Oryctolagus cuniculus: one gene and its partner. The protein of the gene in region 2 interacts with the protein of the main gene of each other region in a biochemical or structural test. Links are inferred from orthologs where the notes say so. Each region holds a gene or a part of one and is shown on either strand. Other genes may lie near its edges. The genes, in order: ITGA2B and RNF181.

Region 1 (11,411 bases), on a different chromosome or scaffold from region 2:
GCGCGGACCGGCACAGCCAGCAGCACAGCCTCGCTGTTGGGGTTCTGGCTGTTCTTGCTGCAGGGGAGGGGTGAGGAGAAGCGGGTCACCCACACACCGCCCCGTGCCTCCCTGGGCCGGGCCAGGGAGCGCTGACTGCACACAGGGCGTGGCGCGGGAAAGAACTCCTCTAAGGTCCCAGGAGTCAGACGTGAACCTCTGACCCAAGAGAGGAAGGGCGGGGCCTGGCCGGAAGGTGTCTCAGAAGACCCTTCTGTAGGGAAGGAGCCTGAGGGTCTCTGCACTGGGGTCGGACAGGGGAGGGGGTGGCTAGGTGCGCTCCCCGGAGCCGGGTACCTCCTGATCTGCAGCTGGAAGGATACAGACTCGCCAGCATCTTCCAGGTTCCCCACGCTCACCAGCATCGTGATTCCTATCTGGGAGACGGGGAGGGCCCAAGTCACCGCCCCAAAGCCCGCTCTGGGCAGCCCTGCCCTGAATGGGCTCCCAGTGGCCCCCCTCCCAGCTCACCCCGTACCCAGGACACACAGTAGCCAGGGGTGTGAGGCCCGGGATTCTAACCCAGGGCTCTCAGACTCCAAAACCTGGCCCGGGACCCGGCTGCGGCTGTGCCGGGCCGACGCCTTACCCGCGCCTGCTTCATGGGGTTGCCAAGCTCGCACAGCACCGCCTTGGTCTGGTTCTCCTTCCTCTGGTTACAGATGAGTCTCTCCAAGCCCTGGGGGGCGGGGCGGGGCTTAAGCTCCTTTGGAAAGGAGGTGGGGGGGGCACTTGTGTGCCTGGGTGAGCAGGGGCACTGGGGAGGTGGGGGTGGGATTCTGCTTTTGCGTCACTGTCACACTTCTTTTTTTTTTTTTTTAAGTAAATTTTCATTTGGGAAATAATAACCTAAAAATGCATTGCATAGAGAATGACCCCCTTGTTATAAACTACAGCAAAAACCGAAATCAATAGGTGAGGTGCCTTCAGAAAGTCTGTGGGAACATGGAATGCAAAGGTTACGATTATTTATGCCCAGAGCGTTGGAAACCTGCTGCTAGCTTTTTCATACTGCACGTTCTCCATGCACTTTCTTGCAGTGCCCTTTGTACCTCTGTTAGTGACTGTCAATCTTGGAGGAAAAAGACTGGGCACAGGTTCCAGCTACCACTTCGTTTCTGAGACATGTAGGGGTTTTTCGATTGAGTTCTCGAATTTTGTGCCATTAGGGAGCATTCCTCTTCCAAACACCTTATGTGGCCAAGCATACGGGACATGGGAGCTCTTGCAGTGGGATATGGACAGGGTGGAGGCTTCTGCACGTGTCAGGACCTGGCAGTGCCCTAGGGCTGGGCCTCACCTCTATGGTGCTCACTGCCCGCATGTAGTGGGCCCCCAGGGGCAGGTGCACCACCAGCTCTGCCTCGTAGGCCCCCTCCCCGTCGTTGGCCGCGACCATCTGCAGCTCCAGCACATTGTCAGCCCCAATCAGGAGTGGGGAGCCCTTCCTGTGGGGGGGAGGGAGAGGAGTGAAGCCAGGGAGGAGGAGAGGCGGCAGGGGGCCGAGAGGGCCGGGGAGGAGCAGAGTGGGAGGTCCCCTTACAGGCTGGCCGTGAGGTGAAGCTGGGGCACGCACACGTCATCTTCCCCACACTCCAGGATGATGCGGGTCTAGGGGGGCACATTGAGAGGTGTGGGTAACTGGGGTCCTCTGAGGCTTGGGGGCCACACCAGGGTTAGGAATACAACAATGGGCTTGGGATTCTTATCAGGGCTTAGGGAATAAGGGACCAGTGTTGTGGCACAGCAGGTGAAGCTACCACTTGGGATGCCGGCACCCCAGATCACAGCGCTGGTTCAAGTCCCCGCTGGTCCACTTCCAATGCAGCTCCCTGCTAATGCCCCGGAGAAGGCAACAGAAGATGGCCCAAGTGCTTGGTCCCCCCCACCCACATGGGAGACCAGGATGGAGTTCCAGGCTCCTGGCACAGCCCGTTTTCTGTGGCCATTTGGGGGGTGAACCAGTGGATGGAATATCCTTTCTCTCTCTTTCTCTCCCTCTCTCCATCACTCTGCCTTTCAAATAAATAAAGCAAATCTTACAAAAAAAGATCTGAAGCTGAAAAAGTTTGGAGTTGACCTCAAGGTGTAGGGGATATTGGGATTTTCGCTAGCCTCTCTCTGTATATATCATAAACATATAAACATACTCTGCACATACACAAACACTTGAATTATTTGAGAGGCAGAGAGAGAGAGAAACAGGCAGACAGAGCTCCACTGGTTCACTCCCCAAACGCCCACAGCAGCCAGCAAAGCTGAGAATTCAACCTGAGCCTCCCAGGTGGGTGACTTGAGCCACCTTCACTCTCTCCCAGGGTCTGTATTGGCAAAAAGCTGGGATCAGGCACTGGCACTGGGAATTGAACCCAGGCGCTCGGATATGGGATGCAGGCATCTTAACTGGTAAGCCAGATATCGGGGTGACGTCAAGGTCTGGGGGTACACATTATGATTTGGACACTACCCCAACCTAGGCTTTCTGTCAGGGGCCCTGTACCACTCCCACCCGTCCCACCTGCTCCTGCACGTGGGTGTTCCCGTGCAGGACCACGGCAGGGGCCACGCCAGCCTCCTTGGGCTGCAGCGACACGTTGAAGCTGAGCACGATGGGGCTCAGCTTGTCCCGGAAGTCCGCCTCATCCTAGGAGGGAGACAGGAGTCAGGCAATCTCGCTCCATGCACATCCTGCTGATGACCCCTGGACCCACAGCACCCAGCCCAGTGCCCCAGGGCTGGTGAATGCGGTGCACACGCCCAGCCCAGCCGAACCCCTGCCTGTGCGTACGCGAAGGAAGGCCGTGGTGTTGTGGCAGAGGCGGCTCTGCCTCCCGCCCAGGTCCATGCTCAGGGTGGTGCTCGCCTGCTGAGAGCCCAGCAACAGCACTCGCCGGCCCTGGCGGGGCTTCTGGCGGTCCAGCTGCAGCTCAGCCTGCAGGTCTGCAGGACAAGCAGGCCCGGTCAAGACCACCTGGCCAGCCGCGGGGGAGCCTGGGCCCTCCTCCCCCTGCGCCTCCCGAGCCACTCACACAGCCTCTGGGGAATGTTGTGCCCGGTGACCCCCACGCACATCTGGATGTTGAAGCTGCAAAGACGTGAGTGGGTTCAGGGGCGAGGGCCGGCCCAGGGACCACAGGTCCCGGCTGCCGCGCCCGCGCCTCCTCACCAGCTCACGGGGGTGTTGGTCTGGTGCAGGACACAGTTCTTCACAGCAGGGTTCAGCGAATCTTGCACCAGCAGCTGGACATCGGCCATGACCACCGGCTGGGCTCTAGCGGGACAGAGGGGCGCCTGCCGTTGCGGCCCCTTTGGGGTTGGCCTCCTCCCGCACCCCGCCCCCAGAGTCAGCGCTCACCTGTACACAACCACCTTGTCCGCCCCGTAAGCTCCTACCAGCAGGTCTAAACATTGCAGGAGGGGTCGGGATTGGCAGTTAGAGAGGGCATGGGGGCGGCTTCTCATCTCCCTTAGGGCTCCGCACACCACCTCCCCCGCCCCAGGAAGTCTGACCTGCTCCCCTCCACCCCAGGCTTCCCAGCCATACAAAGCGGTCAGAGCCCCCAGTGGGGCGGGCACCAGGTCAGGCCCGGGCCTCCTGGCTGTCTCTCGGCATTTGCAGCAAAGGCACCTGGGTATCCGTTGTCATCGATGTCTGTGGCACCTCTCAGACAGAAGCCAAAGGCAGAGCCCGCGGGGAAGGGGCTGTCCAGGACCTGGGAGGGATGTGGGTTCAGCCCCTCGCTCTGCCCCAGGTACACCAGCACTTGGCCCCGACCGCTCGGACCCCCGTAGGGCGCAGCCACCGCAACATCTGGAAAGGTAACAGGCATGGCTGCTTGTTATTCAACCCCCCCCCCCCCACCAGGGGCACGGCTTCCTGAGCTCCCTCTCTGGGCCGGCCCCGGAGGACCAAGAGAGGGCTGCCCAGTGTGAGGCCGAAGTTGCGGTCAAGTGGGAGAGAGGCTGGTCAGGCAGCACTGTTAGGAAAACAGCACCAGCCTCCACTAACCGCCGAGGAAAAGAGATCAACAAGATTTCATTTAATCCTGAAAATGAGGCATTATTCTACTAATTTTAGATAAAAAGTGTGGGCTCCAGAATATGGAGTAGCTGAAGCTTATTAAATACAGGCCCCCAACTTCCCCTGGGGCCCTGCGCTTCCCCCCCACAGACTCAGGCACACCCACAGGCTCTCACTCACCTTTGAAAGCGCACCTGTTGTCAGAGTGGCACCTCTGAGAACTCTTCGTGTCTGACACGAGCGCGTCTTTGATACGTGCCTTGCACCTGTCTACCCTTTGCCTCCCGATTTTGTTGACAGCATGTTTCCTACGCAGCTCTTTCTTTGAACTGTCTTCACTGATTTCTCTGACCTTGCCATAGGCTGAGCCGGCTTGTCCCACTGCCAGCCCTGGGTGAACCCAGCTCGGGGCACCATGAGCCCCTGACCCCAGTGCCCTGGAGGCTGCCCCGCTGCCTGGCCAGGTGCTGCTCACTCCTCCCAGTCTGCTCAGCACCTGTTTCTAGCTTCCTCCATCCTTGCAGCGCCCAGCCCTTGGCTTCTCACAGGGGACCGCATCTCCTACTTCTCAAAAGGGAAGTGGCCCCACCGTGGGCCACCAGCTCCCTTTACCCTGTTCGTGTTTGACATTGGAACAGGTGTCTCTCTTCACCCGGCACCGGGCTGTGTCCCCCCTGTGCATTACAGGAACCTCTTCTGGCTCCCCTGGCTCCGCCCCTGGTTCCTCTGGCTCCACCCCCTGGTCCCTCTGGCTCCGCCCATGACTCCTCTGGCTCCACCCCCTGCTCCCCATGGCACATTTTCTCCTGTTCAACCCCTTCCATTTTCCTCCACATTGAATTCATCTTTCCTGACTGAAGCCCCTCCTGGCTCCCCCTGCCCTCGGGTCAAGCCCAGGCTTTCTGTTGAGGCTGTTAACCCTCCTGCAGCAAGTGGGGGCTCCTCTCTCCTCACCATTGTAGCCATCCCTGTTGAGGTCGCCCAGGGGCGCGATCGCAGAGCCAAACCGCCCGTAGAGCTGCGTGCCGGTCAGCAGGAGGCTGGGTGCGCCCAGCAGGTGGGGGCCTTGCAGCTGCAGGAACAAGTACACGCGCCCCACCTCGGCCAGCTTGTGGTCTGCCTGGCTCGCCATGAACAGAGGAGCGCCCACCAGTAGGTCATGCCTCCTGCAGGCAGAGGGGTGGTCAGCTGGGGCTGGCTAGTGGCGGCTGGGGGCTAGGGCCAAATCTTGCCCACGCTGGCTCTCAGCTCCTGGGGCGGTCGTGCCCAAGGCAGGGCTGGCAGAGGCAACTGGGGAACCAACGGGGTAGGGGTGGGGCGTCCCCCTCCTCACCCATCCCCGTTGACATCAGTGACCGCCACAGAGTGCCCAAAATACGAAGCCATCTGCAAGGAGACGAGGGCACCTTCGTTTGTACCTCCCAACCCCCCAGATATTCTGTGGTCTTAGTTTCCTGTCTTCAGCCAGTCCCAGCGCGGCCCGGCCCCCACCTGCTCGCCCTGCAGCCGGTGCAGCCTGTAGAAGTAGGAATCCAAAATTTCCACCTGCATGGACAGTGCATGGAGCGTGTTACGTTTGCTCCCCGTGAGAAGGGCAGGAAGTCGGGGCGGGGGGACCGTGAGCCTGAGGACTGGGGACATTGATGCCAGTGGTGTGGTGGAGGGCACTCACCGCTCCCATGGTCCAGCTCCAAGTGGGGGCACCGAGGACATACTCTGGGGGAGAGCCAGGCTCAGCGGGCGGCATCTCTAGAGCCTGCTACCTCCCACCCGCTCCGCGCGCAGCTTCTCCCGGGGCTGGGCTCCCAACCCCGCCACTGAGCAGGTGGACTTCTTACCTGTTGTGCTGAGATCCCCATCGAATTCGCCCACGGCCACCGAGTACCCTGGGGACAAATTAAATCTTAGCAGGAGGTGCTGGGGGCGAGAAAAGAGGGGACTCCGAGGCCACCCAGTCCGAACCCGGCACCGCGCAGAGCCGTCCAGAGGCGGGGCGCTGTAGGCGCTGCGGAGGCTCCCGAGGGGCAGGACGTGGTCGGCGGGGCGGGCGGTGACCCCTGGGGTGCTGGGGCTCCAGATTACCTCGGTAGCCGTCGAAGTACTTTCGGTTGCTGTAGTCGAAGGTGAAGTTCTGATTGGGCACGGTCCACAAGAGGACGCCGGGGCTGTAACTCGAGATGATGTTGGCAATTGGAGCCCGGACCAGGAAACCTAGGGCGCGAGGGGCAGGGAGTGTGGGGGCCCAGACGCCAGGGGTCTCCCGGGGCCGTGAGAGGGGCGGGGGTCGCACCGACTCGCACGTACCTAAGTAATAATAGCCGCCCGGAGCCCCCAGCACCAGCTCTCCTTCCTGAAAGGGAAGCCCTGGAGGTGAGAAGAGCGCCCGGTTCGTGGACTGCCCCCACCATGCTTTTGCCTCCAACTTGCCTGGGTGATCACGGAGCTGAAGCCCGCTTCGCAGGAGCGTAAGTCTCCTAGGGGAGACGGCTCAGTGAACCCGCGGGGGAAGAAGCGAGCCTCCGCGCCTGCAGCGCCGCGGGGCAGTGCGCAAGCGCGAGGGGGCGGGGACAGGGTAATAAGGAGGCGTGGCTGCAGTCGGAGGGGCGGGACCAGGAGCTGGGCAGACGCTAAGGCCAGATTGGAAGCCGGGCTGGCGGAGGTTAGGGGCGGGGCTATGCAGTCTCGAGTGGGCGGAACTAGATGGAGGGTGGCCCTTACTAAGATACATTTTTTCGTAAACGTGGCTCATGGTGTTGCCACGACAGGGCGAGTACTCCGCGCGCCTCCCGCTAGGCAGATGAGCCACGAAGCAGCCGCCGACCGGCGTCTTCTCGGCCTCCGCTGCCTTTTCCAGGACGTTCCATTGCTGCCAGGGGGCGCAGGCCTGGACAGGGCCACGGGAGAGTGGGGAAGGGTGCGAGGCTCGGGCTCCCCCGTCCCCAGCGCATCCCCTCCCCGACCGCCCCGTGCCGGTCTCGGGGCGCCCACCACAATGATGTCATTCCAGCTGACGACCGACGCCCCCAGGCCTTGCCGGGCCCTGAAGGTTTGGAAAAGTTGGGAGCTCGTTTTTCGGTACTCGTCGCCTGGAGGGCACAAGAAGGGGTGGGGCGTTGAGTCCCATCCGGCCGTGAACCTCCCCCTCGCTCCTCCCTTCCACCCTTGCTGGGGACTCACTGAGGTTGAAGGACAGCAGGCTGCACGGGCTGCCCTCGGCCTTCCAGGGGCACAGGAACACGCCGCCCGTCTCCTTTTGGCCGAGGCCCAGGGTCCGCGGGGCGCCCACCACGATGGCCACGCTGCGCGGGAAAGCAGGGTGAGCGCGGCGCGGTGCTGGGAGCGCGCCGGGGCCGTGTAGCCGGCGGGCACCGCATCGCTCTCCTACATGGGACCTCACACTTTATTGTGAGAGAGGGAAATCCCATGCCTAAAGTAACCCAGCGAGTCGGGAGTGAAGCTGGAACTGATCCCACGGTTTGATTTGAACACCGGGGGTTCGGTATCCGTGAGAAAAGTATCGCCTACGCTGTCGGCGTCTCCACCGTCCGACCACCAGCCACCACCAGGGTCTCGCGTGCTCCTGGGAACCAGGTCCCTCCTTGGGAGGGGGTTTGAGTGCTGAGGGAGGCACGCGAAGTGGGGCGGGGGTGCGTGGGAGCGGAGGGTCCCGCCGGGGTAGTTTTACCTGAGCTCTGCCACGTGTCAGTCAGGCAGAACGCCAACCCATGTACTGCACGTATACGGGGCGTTTAGCACGGTCCCAGTCCAACAGGGAGCAAGTTCATTGAGGAAGAACACTTTATTTTTTGGCACCCAGGATGTTTACTACGTAGTGCCCATGGGACCACTAATCGTGGAAAGGAGGGGGAAAGCAGCAGCAACAGGTGTGGAGCTGAGATTCAGACCCAATGTCAGATGGGGGTCAACACCCGGGGGCTGCTCCGCTTCCGATCCAGTTCCCTGCTAACATGCCGGGGAGGGCAGTGGGGCGATGGTCCAGTCCTTGGGCCCTAGCCACCCACATGAGAGACCAGATGGAGTTCCGAGCCCCTGGCTCAGCCCCAGCCCAACCCTTGCGGCCATTTGGGGAGTGAACCAGCAGATGGAGGACTTCTGTCTGTCTCTCCCTCTCTCTCCTTGCTGGTCTACCTTTCAAGTAAATATATATTTTTAAAAAGAGTTGAACCAAGAGGGTGGACCCTTACCCCTTGCCCCCCAAACAGTTTTCACTGATCATTGAATGGGGACCACCTCAGGAAGGGGACAATGTCCACTAGGACAAGTAGCCCAGGGTAACACAGGTATAAAAAGGAGGAGCCAGGTAGGCAGGCACTGTGGCATAGCAGGTAGAGCCACTGCCTGCAATGCCAGCATCCCAAATGGCTGTCGGTTTGTCCTGGCTGCTCTACTGATCCAGCTCCCTGCTAATGGCCTGGGAAAAGTATCAGAAGCTGGCCAAAGTGTTTGGGTCCCTGCCACCCACACAGGAGACCTGGAAGAAGCTCCTGGCTCCTGGCGCAGCTCTGGCCACTGCAGCCACTTTTGGGGAGGGAACTTAGTGGATGGAAGATTGTTCTCTCCCCTTTCTGTAACTCTTCAAAATAAACAAACAAAAATCCTAACAAAAGGGGGGGGCAGGACTCTAACCTTGGTAGTCAGATTCCAAAGCCTGATCAATTCAACCATTAATGACCGATTGCTTCTTTTCAAATTGCTAATAACTGTGATGGGGATAAGAGAAATGGAGCCGAAAAGAAGGCCGGATAGACAGTTTTATAACTGGCAGACCAGCTCAGGACATGTGCTCTTTTCTGTATCCCAGCAGGATGATCCTCCGGGCAAAGCCAGGCACGCGCTTTGGGCCTCCCTTTGTTTCTGCTGTGGCCTCAACGCCCACCTCCCCACCGGTGTTCCTCCCCCTCACACCTGGGCCAGCTGTGCCCAGCAGACCCCAGAATTCACCTTGTTCAACTGCTCTCATCCACAGGGAACTTGAGTAGTGATGTGCATGTGTGGGGGGCCCTTCTCTCCCCAGCATCCAAATATCCCCCAGGGCTCACCTTCCATGGCTGTCCTTGTAGAAGTCCAGTGAAAACCCAAAGTGGCTGCCATTGAGGCCCGTATAGATGGTGAGCTGCACTGGGTCCAGGTTCAAGGCCCAGGCTGGAGGTCCAGCACCTGGACCCAAGAGCAGCAGGGCCCATTCCAGAAACCAGAAGGCAGGCAGTGGACCCAAGGCTCTGGCCATCTTCCTTCTCCCACAACCTCCTAGGCAGGAATGGGTCAGCTCCTTCGTCTTCCCTCCAGTTCTCACCACAGGAAGTCTTTTCTTATCAAACTGGAACCCAGCGTAACTTGCTCAACAGTAGGCAAAGGGCTGGCCCTGGACCCGGACGGTGTCTGGCGTTGCCAGGAAGGGGGTGAGGCCCTCCAAGGGGTGGATGCGCATGGCCAGAAGTCACATCTCCTGCCTTTCCCAGGAGCAGCTGCTCACCACGTCCCCCCGATCCTGCCTCTCAGCTGTCTCCCGATCCTTCACCCCAGCTCCACTACCTCCATGCTCGGCCACGCCATCCTCACTTGGTGCCCGAGAGTCCAGGTGTGGACTGATTGTTCCTACAACGCCACAGGTCCACCCTGGCCTGCAGTCCTCCAGCTCCTCCCTCGCCCCATCGAGCTGGCTGCATCGCGGTGGCGCTTTGTAACTCGGCCAGGATGGGGGCAGGAACCCGGAAGCTGCTGCCCCTTGATAAGACCTGAGGCTGCCCTTTTGGGATAAGGCCCTCGCCCACTTCCTCCTTCCAGGGCCTTTGGCAGCCTGTCATGCTTATTGGTGCAGAAGCTTCCTCACTCTTCTATCTTGGGCCAAGTCTTCGTGTGGCCACAGCAGTGCAGCCAGTGCTGGTACAGAGATGGCGAAAGGATCTGGCCTAGCAAAGCGATGGGCATAGAGTGGAGTCACCCCAGGGTGTTCTGGCTAACGAGCTCTGAGATTTTCGCACCAGCTATCAGTTGAAGGCGGGTCCTCACCCCTTGCATGATGGAGCTCTCATCCAACCAATCAAAACTCGAGTCTGGTTGGGGTCACTGCCTCTAGGAAGGCTCCCCCAACTCCGCAGACTAGCACCCTGGGCTACTGTCCCCAGGTCTGCTCATTGCCCTGTGCAGCAACTCCCTGAGAGCAAGGTTTCTTTCTGCAGCCCCAAGGCCCAGCCGAGAGCCAGCTGCTGGACTGCGCGGAGGCGTGCGCTAAGGATAGGAGAGGCAAACACAGCGGCAGATGAGTGGAACACGAAGGCACGTTCCCTGGGCAGGAGGAGTGCCAAGTCTCCCTGGCACTGCATGTCTTCCCCGAAGTGCACTGAGGAGATTCCGGAGGGCACCAGCGGGAGGAGGGCCCGGCTGCACCCTCCTTTTGGAGTTCCCTGCTCAGACTGCACTGGCGCCGTACTCTGCTTGACTACCCCGAGCCATCTGGAGTCACTTAAGCTCCTCCCTTCTCGTACTTCACCATCTCAGCTCAGTTAAAAATATGACCCCTGGGGCCGGCGCTGTGGTGCAGTAGGTTAATCCTCCGCCTGCGGCACTGGCATCCCATATGGGCGCCAGTTCTAGTCCCGGCTGCTCCTCTTCCCATCCAGCTCTCTGCTGTGGCCTGGGAAAGCAGAAGATGGCCCAACTCCTTGGGCCCCTGCACCCGCATGGGAGACTGGGAAGCTCCTGGCTTTGGATTGGCGGAGCTCTGGCCATTGTGGCCATTTGGGGAGTGAAACAACAGAAAGAAGACCTTTGTCTCTACCTCTCACTGTCTGTAACTCTACCTCTCGAACAAATAAATCTTAAAAAAAAAAAAAAAAAAAGTATGATCCCTTAAGGCTAAAAGCTTCTTGGACTTCAGTCTGGGCCTTCTTCGCTGATGAATTCCCAGTGCCAAGTTCACGGCAGACATGTAATACATCTGCTAGAAAGCTTAGCCTAGTCCTCTACTTAGTGTCAACTAAGTGGCTACCGTATCACTGGTGTATTCCATGAAGCCCCACATGGATATAATAAACACTTACTCTAAAACACTCAGTAGGTCAGATAAAGATGACCATGAAGGGTTCTTAGCAAACTCAGTCCAGAGGGAGTGAAGACATGCACACACAAAAACACAGCAGAGGGACAGTGAAACACGCCTTGGAATAGATACAGGCCATGAACATAACTTCTATCAATGGATCCACCTAACAATCCTATGGAGTGGGTACCGTATATTGTGTTTATTTTATAAACACAAAAACTGTGGCACAAGAATTTCAGGTAAATTGCAAAGCAAGATTCAAACACAGGCTGTACTTGAACCCATGTT
Region 2 (11,469 bases):
TATAGGATGATGGTGTCATAGGCAATAGCTTAATCCACTGCACTGCAATGCCAGCCCCAGCTCTGCCTTTCAAGTCGATAAAAATAAATAAATAAACATGTAAAAACAAAATGAAACAAAACCCCTCAAGCTTTGCAAGCCCCTGGCAGCTGTCAGAAGAGCCTCTTTCACCCACCTTCCTCTTTGAGCTCTTGGCTGCTCCCCCTCCCCGTGCGTGGTGGGCATCTTCCCACACTCTGGCTGATGGCATTTCTCCCCGACTGAATGGCTGCTTCTCTGCCCTGACTTTTCTCACTTCCATCTGTGCCTGTCCAGCACCAATGGGGAAATGTTCTTCATCATTGCCCTTGGCCCTGTGCACGTGTGTGTTACTGTTCCCTCCAAGCCAGCCTCCTCTACTGGACTTTTACTGCTCTCTCCAGCCCCACCCTGCCCCTTCACCCGTACTCTCTGCCTGCTCCGTCACTGTCTGGGGCGTTCCCTTGGCTCTAGGTTGCAATGCCCCAGCTTCAACCCATCCTGCAAGGGTTCCTCCATCCCATGCTTCCAATCACAGTTCTCACCTTGTTACTTGCACCCTCTGTGGGCAGCTGCATCACTTACAGCTCATATCTCACAGTGTCACTGTTTACTCTTCAGGGAGAGAGGGAGAGAGAGGAAGAGAGAGGGAGAGAGGGAGAGAAGGAGAGAGAGGGAGAGAAAGGGAGAGAGCGAGAGAGGGAGAGAGAGGGAGAGGGAGAGAGAGGGAGAGGGAGAGAGGGAGAGAAGGAGAGAGAGGGAGAGAGGGAGAGAAGGAGAGAGGGGGAGAGAAGGAGAGAGGGAGAGAAGGAGAGAGAGGGAGAGAAAGGGAGAGAGCAAGAGAGGGAGAGAGAGGGAGAGAAGGAGAGAGAGGGAGAAGGGGAGAGGGGGAGAGAGGGAGAGGGGGAGAGAGAGGGAGAGAGAGGGAGAGGGAGAGAGAGGGAGAGGGGGAGAAGAGGGAGAGGGGGAGAGAGGGAGAGGGGGAGAAAGTTGGAGAGGGGGAGAGGGGAAGAGAGGGGGAGAGGGGGAGAGAGGGGGAGAGGGAGAGAGAGGGAAAGAGAGGGAGAGGGGGAGAGAGGTCTCCTTAAAAGATCTCCTTTTATTCCAAAAACAGTTGTCCTGGACTTTAGGCTGAGTTACAGTGTGGCGGAAGGCAGCACGGCCCTTGCCTCCCCCCTTGCCTGGTGCTTTATCTCGCGCCGTGCTAGCAGACACCTGTGCACACACGGTCTGTGTCCATTTTCCCCTGGTTGAGTGGGCCAGGGAGAGCCTGAGACTTGAGAGTCTGATGGCTCTGTGTTTCAAGTGTGTTCTTTTCAGCCTGGGTCCATCTTGGCTCTGGACAGGCCTGGCTTCGCAGTGTCGAGACTGCTCCAGATAACAGCTGGAGGCCCAGCCAGCTCTCCGCGGAGAATGTGACCCCACATCACCCCTGTTGGAGAACGAGAACAACAGCTGTCACATTCAGAGTAGCAAAAATAATGCCCAGCACCCCACCAGTCTCTAGCAGTGATTCTTATTTCCAAATCATTGCCCGTCACCGAGTTTTTGCCTTAGACTTGGAATGTGGGGGAGTTCAAAGGATCACATCACGGAGCCTCAGGGAGTAACAGGGCAGCCATGGCAAAGAGGGTGGCTGGCTCAGGAAAAGCTTCCCTGCCCTCCTTCACCCTTCCTCTGTGCTCCCCAACCTGTGAGCACCCCTCCTCCCAGTGCTTTGCCTGACCCCGCTTGAAGCAGGTTGTTTTTCAGGCTCATGAGTAAACACTGACCTATTTGGGTTTCAGATGCCTGCCCTGCAAAATTCCTGCTGGGCTGGATAAACACACTGGGGGAACATCTCTTGAGAATGCAAGTTGCTTTTGGATACAATGCAGGTGACCCACTGACTGAGCCCTTGCAATGGTCAGCACTGTGCCGGCCTCCTGGGCCCCCCAGGATGATGGCAGATGGAGGCAGGGCCCTCTCCCTGGGAGCTTGTGGTCCATTTGGAGAGCTAGGACTCATTCACTGGGAATGCATGCAAGCTGTGTGCAAGGCAGCTGCAAGGATCCTGAAGGGGGGATTCTTGCCTGAGGAGGAGGTGGTCCTCTGTGACTACTGGATCCTTCCCAACACTTAAGTCCTCTGCTTTTGAGGTGCCAAACGGTCTGCTGCAGACAGTGGCTATGTGGGCTGGCAGGAAAGGGAGTTTAGCTGATACTCTCTGCCAAGAGGAGGTGAGGATCAAGGCTGAGGTGAGGAGCTGCTGGGCTTTGCTAATCTGCCGATAGTCATCTCCCTGAAATGTCCCAGCACCTGCACCTGCACCTGCCTCCTGCCCTGAGTCTCTCTGGCCCAGGCAGAGCCAGGTGCCAGTCTTACTCATGACCCAGACGTTTCCTTTCTCCCGTGCCCTCAACCTCTCCCGGCTTGCAAGCTGCCCTTCCCTTTCCAGCCCTCTGAAAGGAGCTGTGTTTCTGTTAGGTGAAGCTGTTCAGGCTGGGAAAAATCCAAGGAAGGGTTGGTCTCTTGGCAGTGAGCTGGACCCCAGTGAAGACCCTGGCTAACTGGAAGAGGGAGGCCAGAGGCTAAGACAGCTGAGCTTCCTGGGCAGAGAGGGAGTGACTGTGGCCGCTGATGTGGTCAGCGGGCTCCTGACCAAGAGGCAGAAGTGGCCAGGAAGGAGATCTGAGTTGCTCAGTTTAGGGGAAGAAGAGAGGGTTAGGCTGGATTGATAATGCTGATCCCAAATTACCTTTTTAGCCTGAAGGGTGGGTGTCTTCCCTGTCTGGCTTCCAGCCAAGTGGCTTGGCTGCCTCTTTAGGTCAGTGGGAAGCCACAGGGCAGGTGCTTTGTGGGAGGGTAGGGTCCTCGCTGGAATCCAGGACTGATTTATGTCCTGCCTAATGGGCAAGGGGAGGAGACTGTGAGACCAAAGGTGAGCCGCGGAGGCCACGTGCCGTGCCGTGCCGTGGTGCAGCAGGTTAACTGTATCGTGTTTGGGAGTGCCGCTTAAAGTCCCAGCTACTCTGCTTCTAATCTAGCTCCCTGCTGAGGCACGTGGGAGGCGTCTGCTATGCACCTGGGAGACTCCTGGATGGAGTTCCTGGCTCCTGACTTCAGCCTGGCCTAGCCCTGGTTGTTCTGGTCATTTGGGGGAGTGAGCCAGCAGATCAAAGGTCTCTCTCTGTCTCTGCCTTTCAAATACTATTTTTTAAAAAGATAGGACAAAAAAATTTTTTAAATGGCGAGTGGCATTTACCCAGCCCCACCCCCCAACACATCACACCCTTACACGAAGGATCCTGTTACTCACATGCTGAATCCACACACAGTGGGGGGAGAGGACTGTAGGTCTCAGGGCCAGATGAGGGCCGGGGTGGGGGGGCCTCATGCAGCCCTGACCTGGGGCTTGGTGCCCAGGCAGGGAAAGAGTTGGAGCGATGCCAGCGGCAGGCCGACGAGGTGACAGAAATCATGCTCAACAACTTCGACAAGGTCCTGGAGCGCGATGGGAAGCTGGCAGAGCTACAGCAGCGTTCGGACCAACTGCTGGACATGGTGTGAGGCCCGTGGGTCAGGGAGGGGAGGGAGGGCTGGGCGAAGGCCCTGCAGGGAACGCTCGGGCTCTGCCCAGGGTATACAGACACTTGGTGGTGGCTGGGGGGGGGGGGGGGGGTTAGGGGCCAGCATGGGGCCTCTGGGTTTCTGAGGCACTCCTAGTAGGTATGCAATGGCCTGCCTTCAAAAATAAGACATTCTTGATTTTGTTATGGGAGAACATAAAATTTTGCTTTATGTTCTCCCTTAATAATGTGAAGCTATGTAGCTTCCTAAGGGTGGGGACTGGCATTGTTAACAAGGGGGGAGGGGCGGGTTGAGCCAGTAGGGCAGAAAGTCAGGGGTTACACCAGAGCCTGAGGCCAGGAGTGAGGCTGGGAAGATGCGGGGCAGGTTGTGGAGGAGGGGGACAGGGTGGGGAGGATGCAGGAGAGAGGAGGCCTTCCGGGGCCAGGCTGGGAGGCGCTGGTTCTGAGGCCATGGAGCGATGCTAACTCCCACTGTGTCTGCGGGTGTCCACAGAGCTCAGCCTTCAGCAAGACAACCAAGATCGTGGCCCAGAAGAAGCGCTGGGAGAATATCCGCTGCCGGGTCTACTTGGGGCTGGTGGTGGCCGGAGGCCTGCTCATCATCCTGATTGTACTGCTGGCCGTCTTTCTCCCGCAAAACAGTGGAGACAGTACTGCCCCACAAGCCCAGGATGCAACCACTGCCTCAGGATCTGGGGAATGACCCAGCTGGGCCTGGAGAGAGGCCGAAGAGCTGCACGGGCCAGTTCTAGTCTCCAGAGAACCCTGCTATTGGCTCCTGTCTGAGCCACCTCAGTGAGTGCCAGAGGGCAGCCCAGATGTGGGTACCTTTGCATCTCCCAACAAGCCACAGACTGGCCCTCAAGGGCGGCCTCCTGCACTGGCCATGCCGGGCCAGCCCCACCTGGAGCTCAGTAAAAGCTGCTGTTGGATTAAAAGATGATGATGATGTGTGTGCTGCACGTGTGCACGTGTGTGCCTGAAGCTCCCCAGGTTGGCATATCCTGCTCTGCCTCCACCCTCAGGGCTGCTTAGAAAGCCTGCCACCCAAAGGACTCCACCCCTGCAGTATAACCCGCTTCCGATTCCCTACTTGATCCAGCCCTACACAGACAGACCTTTCTGAGGTGTGGGGGCAAGGACACAGCAGCCCCCAAACCAGACCCTTGAACCCATCTTGTTTTTCTGACATCTTGGGGGGGGGGGAGCTGCGAGATGGGATGCCAAAGAGGAAAAGACGTCAAAACTCTGTAAATGAGTCTCTCACCGTCAGCTAGACCTCCCCCCTGCTGCCCCTGAACACTTTCCCCTCCCCAATTTCTCCGGCCCAGGTTCTTCTTCAGCCTTTACATACCAGAGTGCAGGTGCCCAGAGCTCCTGTGGTGCTGTGGACACAAAGTGTGGCCTGGAGTTTGTCCTGTAGGAAAGGATTCATTCGGGCTTTTTTCAAGCTCCAGGGCCACCCACGGCTTAGCAGGTGGTACCTTCAGGGCCTCGGCACAGATCTTTGTGCAACATCACAGAAGGCCAACCAAAGTGGTGGAGGCAGGGCAGCCTCTCCCTGGGTCACTTAACCACAGCTCAAACTCAAGGAAGAGTGGCAGGGGGAATTCAGAGTCAAGTGTGTAAAATAAGCAGATGCTTGTTCAGTAGAGTGAGGACTACCGACAGGAACAACCACAAGCTCTGAGAATTGTGTGGAATTTCATCCCTCCAAGAGGTCACGGCTTTCACCTTCCGGTGGTGGGAAAGACAGGGCCAAGCCTTTAGCCCTGCCTGGTCAGCCACACCACTTACAGGCTGTGTAATCTGGGTGAAGCCACTGCTGTAACTCAGGTTTTACTGATGTAAAAAGGACATAAGGATGCATAGCCCCCAGGACCATTGGGAGAATTACTGATGCGGTGTGGAAAATATCCATCACAGTTCCAGGTGCCAACCAGTAGCTGTCCCAGACATTGAGTGCAGTGGTTCTCTCATTCGAATCGGCAGAACTTAAATCAGAATATTCTTAGGGCATCAGCCCTGGAGTTATTTTCTAAAGCCGCACCTCTCATCATTCGTGTGCAGGCAGGAATACAAATATTGTAGTTCGAAGCCCTGGTTTTACAGATGCTGGATAGGAGGTTGAGCAATGGGCTGAAGGTCACACAGATGGGCAGTCCGTTCCAGGGCAGGTGAAGCCACAGGGCACAGACCTCTGCCTTTTGGTTGGGAGGCTTGCCCCGACCTTTATTATTCTACCTAACTCACGAGAAATGCGCAGGCTCCCCGCCCTCCGCGGGCTGGGGAGGAATCAAGCGCAAATCACTGAACCAACTTGAGCGCAGCGGGGCGAAAGGGCCCGGCGGGGACATGGGCAGAGCCGCGCGCAGAGCCATCGTTCCAGCCGGGCTCGTACACGCGTCCCCCTCTCCCGAGCGGTCTCTAGCGTCGCATGACCGAGGCCCTCGTGGCCTCAGGGCACACTGAGGACCCTTACTGCTCAGACGCCCGGCCTTCCAGAGCACCAAAAACGCTATCACGCCAGAAATTCCCGGGAATTCTCTCTGGTCTTGGATTCCTACATACCCTTTAACCAGCCCTGGTTTCTGCCATTGGCTTTACTCTTTGATCATCTGATTTATCCTAGCCAATGAGAGGCGCCCAAATTACTACTTCCGGCTTTTTTTTTTTTTTAGTGAGCCACTATACCCGCCCGTTAGATACTCTGATTGGCCCTCCTCTCTCAACTTGCCAGTTTATTGGCCAGCACTGTGAGGCGACCGGGGGCGGGGGCCCGAGCGCTGTGTCAGACCGTGGAATAGCCATGGCGTCCTATTTTGATGAACACAACTGCGAACCGTTGGACCCAGAACGGGAGACGCGAACCAACATGCTGTTGGAGCTCGCAAGGTGGGTGCGCGGGGTTCGGGCGTGCGTCCGGGCAGTAGGTTTCTGGGTTGGGGCTTACTGGTTAAGGATTATCTGGGGCAGGACGGATGAATAATGTGGAATATTAGTCCGGAAGGCGAGATTGGGGGGTTTTCTGGGGGGCGGAACCGGGGCAAGGAAGTTGAGGGGAAGATTGGAACTGGAGAGTGGTGGGAGTCGGGGCGGGTGGGCAGCCAGCTCTGGGAGCCAGGGGTGAGCCACGGCGGGTTAGGTTCGGAAACCCGGAAGCCCACACAGCCAGCCCGCAATCTGGCTCCTCCAGTTCGTTCCTGCGTGGCCTGAGGAACTTATCTGAGTAACAACCTATGTGCAAAATGGGAATGATCAGTCTGCGTGCTGGGGTTATCAGACAGCAGCTGTAAACTATTTCCCATCCTGCCTTTTATCTCGTTAGCACCCTCTGAGGGTAGCTGTTACTGCTATTGGCTGGGTTGGGCATTTATCTGTTGATGCCCAGTAGATGATGGACAAACGGGAGGTCTGGTTTTCCTGGGGACCAACCTTGCACCCTCCTCCCCAGGTCACTTTTCAATCGGATGGACTTTGAAGACTTGGGGTTGGTAGTAGATTGGGATCACCACCTGCCTCCACCAGCCGCCAAGGCTGTGGTCGAGAACCTCCCCAGGACAGTCATCAGGGGCTCTCAGGCTGGTGAGGCCACTCATTCCTCTTGTTGTTGGGGGCAAAGTGACAGATGCTCCCCCTTCTTCCAGCCGGACTCGGGTCTGGCCGTCAGTGGCCAGGCCAGGGCCAGGGCCAGGGCGCCCTTCAGGAGTGGGAGCTGGGCGGGGGACCTGCGGGCAGCTCTTCTGATCAGCGCTCCCTCCTAAAGAGCTCAAGTGCCCCGTGTGCCTTCTGGAATTTGAGGAGGAAGAGACTGTCATTGAGATGCCTTGCCACCACCTCTTCCACGCCAACTGCATTCTGCCCTGGCTGAGCAAGGTACTGGTTTCCTTCTTCCAGTCCTCACCTTGCCCCTGGGCCCAGGTCTCTAACTTGGTTTACAGACTGTTGAGAGATCAGGGAAGGGTGGGAGTTGGGAGTAGGGGAGGTGATTCTAAGGGTGAAGACCTGACCCCTGTGAACACTGCCCTGTTTCTGCCAGACAAATTCCTGCCCCCTGTGCCGCCACGAGCTGCCCACTGATGACGACACTTACGAGGAGCACAGAAGAGATAAGGTAGAGGCTGGGGTGGGGGGCCAGGATGGTTTCCCTGAGCCCCTTGTTCTCACAGCTCTCCTTCCCCACTTCAGCAGGCCTGGGTAGACCTCAGAATCTCTGACTGCCTTCCCAGAGACTTTGTGGAGGGGTTTAAGACCAGGGAGAGCCAGCCCAGCCCAGCCCCTCCCCCACAGACCTTTAGGTTTGGTCCCTGCCCAGTGTGCCCTCTGTCTTCCAGGCTCGAAAGCAGCAGCAGCAGCATCGACTGGAGTACCTCCACGGAGCCATGTACACGTGAGGCGGCCGGGGCTGCGCGCTGGCTGGCAGGCCACAACAGCTTCCTCTTGCACCTTGAATCCTCATTAAAGGTTTCTTTATCTGCCTCGCCGGGGTTTCACATCCTCCACTAGGTCTCCATTGCTGTTGGTGAAGGTGGTCCTAAACCACGAAGGCAGGCGTCGGGCTCTTGTTCCCTCCCTGCTGGCCTGTCTACACTCAGGGCAGCGGAGCCCGAGTCCAGGAACCTTGACCACTGGGCCAGCCAGGGCTTGGGCCTCTGTGTTTTTATGGTTCAAAGGCACAACATAGCAGGATCTGGCCATTTAGAGCTGATAAACCAGCCTCCATCCCCGTCCCCCTGCAGTTTCTAGTTAACCTTGGAACTTTTAGTTAATGCTTAGAATCCCGCGGGTTTTCCTGCAGCTCCATTGAGAACACTGGGTGTACCATTTTTAAAGTGGCTCCCTAGAGCACCCCCCCCCCCACCGCGCGTGCCAAAGAATCAAAGCTCAAACTGGATTCCTAGTGGGGGAAAGAAGTGTGAGGTGATCAGACCAGGTCAGCTGTTTCGTCTGAGAGGCCCAGAAAGGAACGCAGGTCCCCAGGTCCTTGTGGGGCATCGCATGGCACCTGGCATCACGTGTTCCTGGCAGTCCTGCTCTTAGGACTCCAGAGCTTCCTCCCCTCCTTTGCTTAGGGAAAACCATCCTGGACCAGGCCCTCTCTGACTCTCCAGAACAGACTACAAAGATGCAAATTAGAATTCTTTTAATAGGTATATAAAAAAAAGTACTAAAATACCCCCGTGGTTCTGCTGTGTTATTTGCCCTAAAGGAAGTGAGAGGCAGAGTGAAGAATCCCAGTGCAGCTCAGTGGGCCCAGAAGTGGGCTTTCCCATAAACTAAGGCGTGCCCCCCCCCCGGCTCCTATCCCCTCTGCTGTTCCCAGCCCCCCAATTCCTGCAGCAGGAACCCCAGTGGTCTGGCTCTGGCACTGGGATAAGAAGGCACCTGAAGGGCTGGCTGGGCGAGTGAGGACAGGTGACCTTTAAACACAAAACGCCACCTCGGCGTGGGGGAACAGGTCATGCTGCTGAGGCAGGGCCTGCTCCTGTATGGCACAGGTGGACGTGGGCTGGCCACTTCTCTGCAAGCAGGGAAGCCCAGATCCCAACAGAATACTTTTCTCACACTGTTTTTGGTACAAAATAAACGCAGATATGGGGTGGGGTGCTGCGGAGGCCAGGCCAGCCACCCTCCCCAGACTTCAGATCATGGCAATGCTCTCGGGGGTGCAGTTGAGGTGGGTGGACGTGCTGCTGCTCCCAGAGGATTTGCAGGCCCGGCCAGGGGCAGGCTGCAGGGCAGCCACCAGTGTGTCTGAGGAGATTGCCCCAAACTCATAGCTGAAGGTGCCATAGAAAATAAGGATATCGATGACAAACACCCACTCGCACAGCGCCGCCCCGTGCTGCAGCTGAGAACTTTCGTGGACAAAGAAGACACCACCTGGAATGAGGCTAAGGAAATGTTCAGGAGGATGTGTGGGCGGCAGGCCACAGCGCCTCCCCCGCCATCAGCCTTCCCCCCAACTCCCCGCCGCCATCCTGGATGGGAGAAGGGCTGGGCTAGAGGATGAGTTCTTGGCTGCCCAGTCCTGGAAGGATACTGAGGACCAGGGTGACGAAGGCGATGACAGCCAGCACACTTCGCAGGTAGGCCACAGCCAGATCCAGGCGCGTGGCGGCCCCGTGGTAGGAGAGGGCGCAGTGCAGGGACACAAAGAGCAGCCCCGCGGGGAAGGCCACGCCAGCTCCCACATAGTGCAGGGACTTGGCGTGATCCACCTGGGCCCAGACAGAAGGGCTGGTCTGTGACGAGGCCCCAGCACTCCACCACCTCCTCTCTCCTTTCCCTCCCACTCTCTCCTTCCCCAGCCCCCAGCCTTGAGGTGCTGCTGCCCCTGCAGGCAGCCAGGCCCTGTACGGGAGAGCTCAAGGGGCCAGGTTGGGTGGGCAGGAGGGCACCTGAAAGTTGCCGACCACCACGAGGCCCGCGGCGTTGGTGCAGCCCGTGATGAGTGCTGTGGTGTTAACCCAGGAGTGCCGGTTCTGCTCCAGGAGCTGCCCGTAGCGCAAGAGGCAAATCAGGGCCACTGCAGGAGGAGAGCAGAGCTGGGGCTGGCTCTGAATCCTTCTCCAGCCCCGGCCCCACCCAGCGAGCCTGCCGGCTTGCCCGCAGTTCTGGTGCTCCTGCCCTGAGGGCTGGAAGGCAGTGGACAAACATGTGGTGAGCTGGGTTTCCTCAGGCCCGGACCAGCAGGGTGGACGGTGTGGGCTATGTGGGAGTTGGCCTTTGGCCTTCAAGGAATGGGAGAGACACAGGTTGCCCCGCTTGCCTTGGCCCTCCGTGGGGGAGGGCTGAGCTGGACGAGGGCTTCCTGGGCCTTTCTGGGGAGGGGGCGTGTGCAAGGTGGGGCTGCGGGGCCAACTCACCCATGAAAGCACCCATGTTGCCAATGAGGCTGAAGAGGCAGCTCTCTGGGGGGTATGTGCCGCACTTGCTGAGGGAGGGGCAAGGGCAGAGTGAGAGGGGAGTCCCAGGGGAGCCCCGTTCTGGCCCGGAGGCTCTCCCCTGCTTTATCTGTGCCCGTTCCTTTGTAGGCAAGACACTGATTTCTGTGAAAGGCCCGTGTTGCTCACGTGTGGCTGGCTCTAAGCAGAGCTCACGTGTCGGGGAGAGAAGGGAGCAGCCAGGAGTGGTCAGTAGACCTGAGACTCCTTGCCGAGGCCTGCGGCTGGTCAGGCTTTCCTTAGCCCAGAATGTGGGCTGGGCAATCAGAAGGCTTGAGCCTGGAGTCTCATGCCTCCACTCACCAGCTGTGTGGCCCGGACAAGCAACAACACTGAGTCTCGGTTTCTGAAGCAATAGATAAAATGATAGAAACAATAGCTGCCTCACCGGTGGGAGGAGGATGAGAGACTATGCATAGAGGCCCAGTGCATCGTGACTACCCCTAGGATAATGGTTATTCCTGACCCCCGAGAGCAGCCAGGGCTGTTTTGGAAGTCTGGGAGGGCTGAGGGTCTCCCTGACCTGCCCAGGTTCCAGGCCTTACCTGATGAGGGGGACATCGTCCAGGGTGCAGCAGGTCTTGGGGCCCCCTTGCTCAGCTGGGTCAGGAGAGCAGGACTCGTTGTAGGACCTGGCAGGCAGGACAGGGAGTAGACTGGGGGAGGGGGTGCCCTGGCCTCTGGCTTGTAGTCTCAAGTCTCAGAGAGGGACCTCCCCAGCAGGGGCAGGAGAGCCGTACACCAGGGCCTGCCTGCAACAAGCCGGAGGGACAAAGGGATGGTGGGAAGTGGGTGGACGGGCAGGGAGCCATGCCTGGGGGGCTCGTGACACTGGGGACACAGGGAGGCCTAGGGTCTGCATCTGGCTGGGGGACAGAGCGCAAGGGAGCTTTAGGTGAGGCTGCAGAGTGCTCCATACCAGTTCTCCACAG

The links.
Region 1: the proteins of RNF181 (region 2) and ITGA2B form a complex in vitro, tested with the Homo sapiens proteins (2 studies listed by BioGRID). The link is inferred for Oryctolagus cuniculus from reciprocal best matches to the Homo sapiens genes RNF181 and ITGA2B.

Annotation. Positions count from the first base shown.
Region 1 is NC_091448.1:18,912,852-18,924,262, reverse strand, and holds the start of ITGA2B (integrin alpha-IIb), read right to left. Parts: upstream 9,389-11,411; 5' UTR 9,309-9,388; coding exon 9,121-9,308; intron 7,360-9,120; coding exon 7,238-7,359; intron 7,147-7,237; coding exon 7,049-7,146; intron 6,945-7,048; coding exon 6,779-6,944; intron 6,535-6,778; coding exon 6,484-6,534; intron 6,411-6,483; coding exon of another isoform or gene 6,407-6,410; coding exon 6,365-6,406; intron 6,272-6,364; coding exon 6,143-6,271; intron 5,947-6,142; coding exon 5,899-5,946; intron 5,777-5,898; coding exon 5,733-5,776; intron 5,606-5,732; coding exon 5,552-5,605; intron 5,447-5,551; coding exon 5,394-5,446; intron 5,227-5,393; coding exon 5,015-5,226; intron 3,851-5,014; coding exon 3,668-3,850; intron 3,441-3,667; coding exon 3,395-3,440; intron 3,311-3,394; coding exon 3,206-3,310; intron 3,125-3,205; coding exon 3,069-3,124; intron 2,980-3,068; coding exon 2,828-2,979; intron 2,684-2,827; coding exon 2,558-2,683; intron 1,651-2,557; coding exon 1,583-1,650; and 8 more. UniProt on the Homo sapiens protein: Integrin alpha-IIb/beta-3 is a receptor for fibronectin, fibrinogen, plasminogen, prothrombin, thrombospondin and vitronectin. It recognizes the sequence R-G-D in a wide array of ligands.
Region 2 is NC_091433.1:117,051,512-117,062,980, reverse strand, and holds RNF181 (E3 ubiquitin-protein ligase RNF181), read left to right. Parts: upstream 1-6,263; 5' UTR 6,264-6,399; coding exon 6,400-6,485; intron 6,486-7,044; coding exon 7,045-7,175; intron 7,176-7,356; coding exon 7,357-7,466; intron 7,467-7,629; coding exon 7,630-7,704; intron 7,705-7,924; coding exon 7,925-7,984; 3' UTR 7,985-8,068; downstream 8,069-11,469. Other genes in the region: VAMP5 (vesicle-associated membrane protein 5), read left to right, coding at 3,424-3,561, 4,084-4,293; TMEM150A (transmembrane protein 150A), read right to left, coding at 9,232-9,473, 9,634-9,811, 9,992-10,119, 10,460-10,527, 11,083-11,169, 11,457-11,469.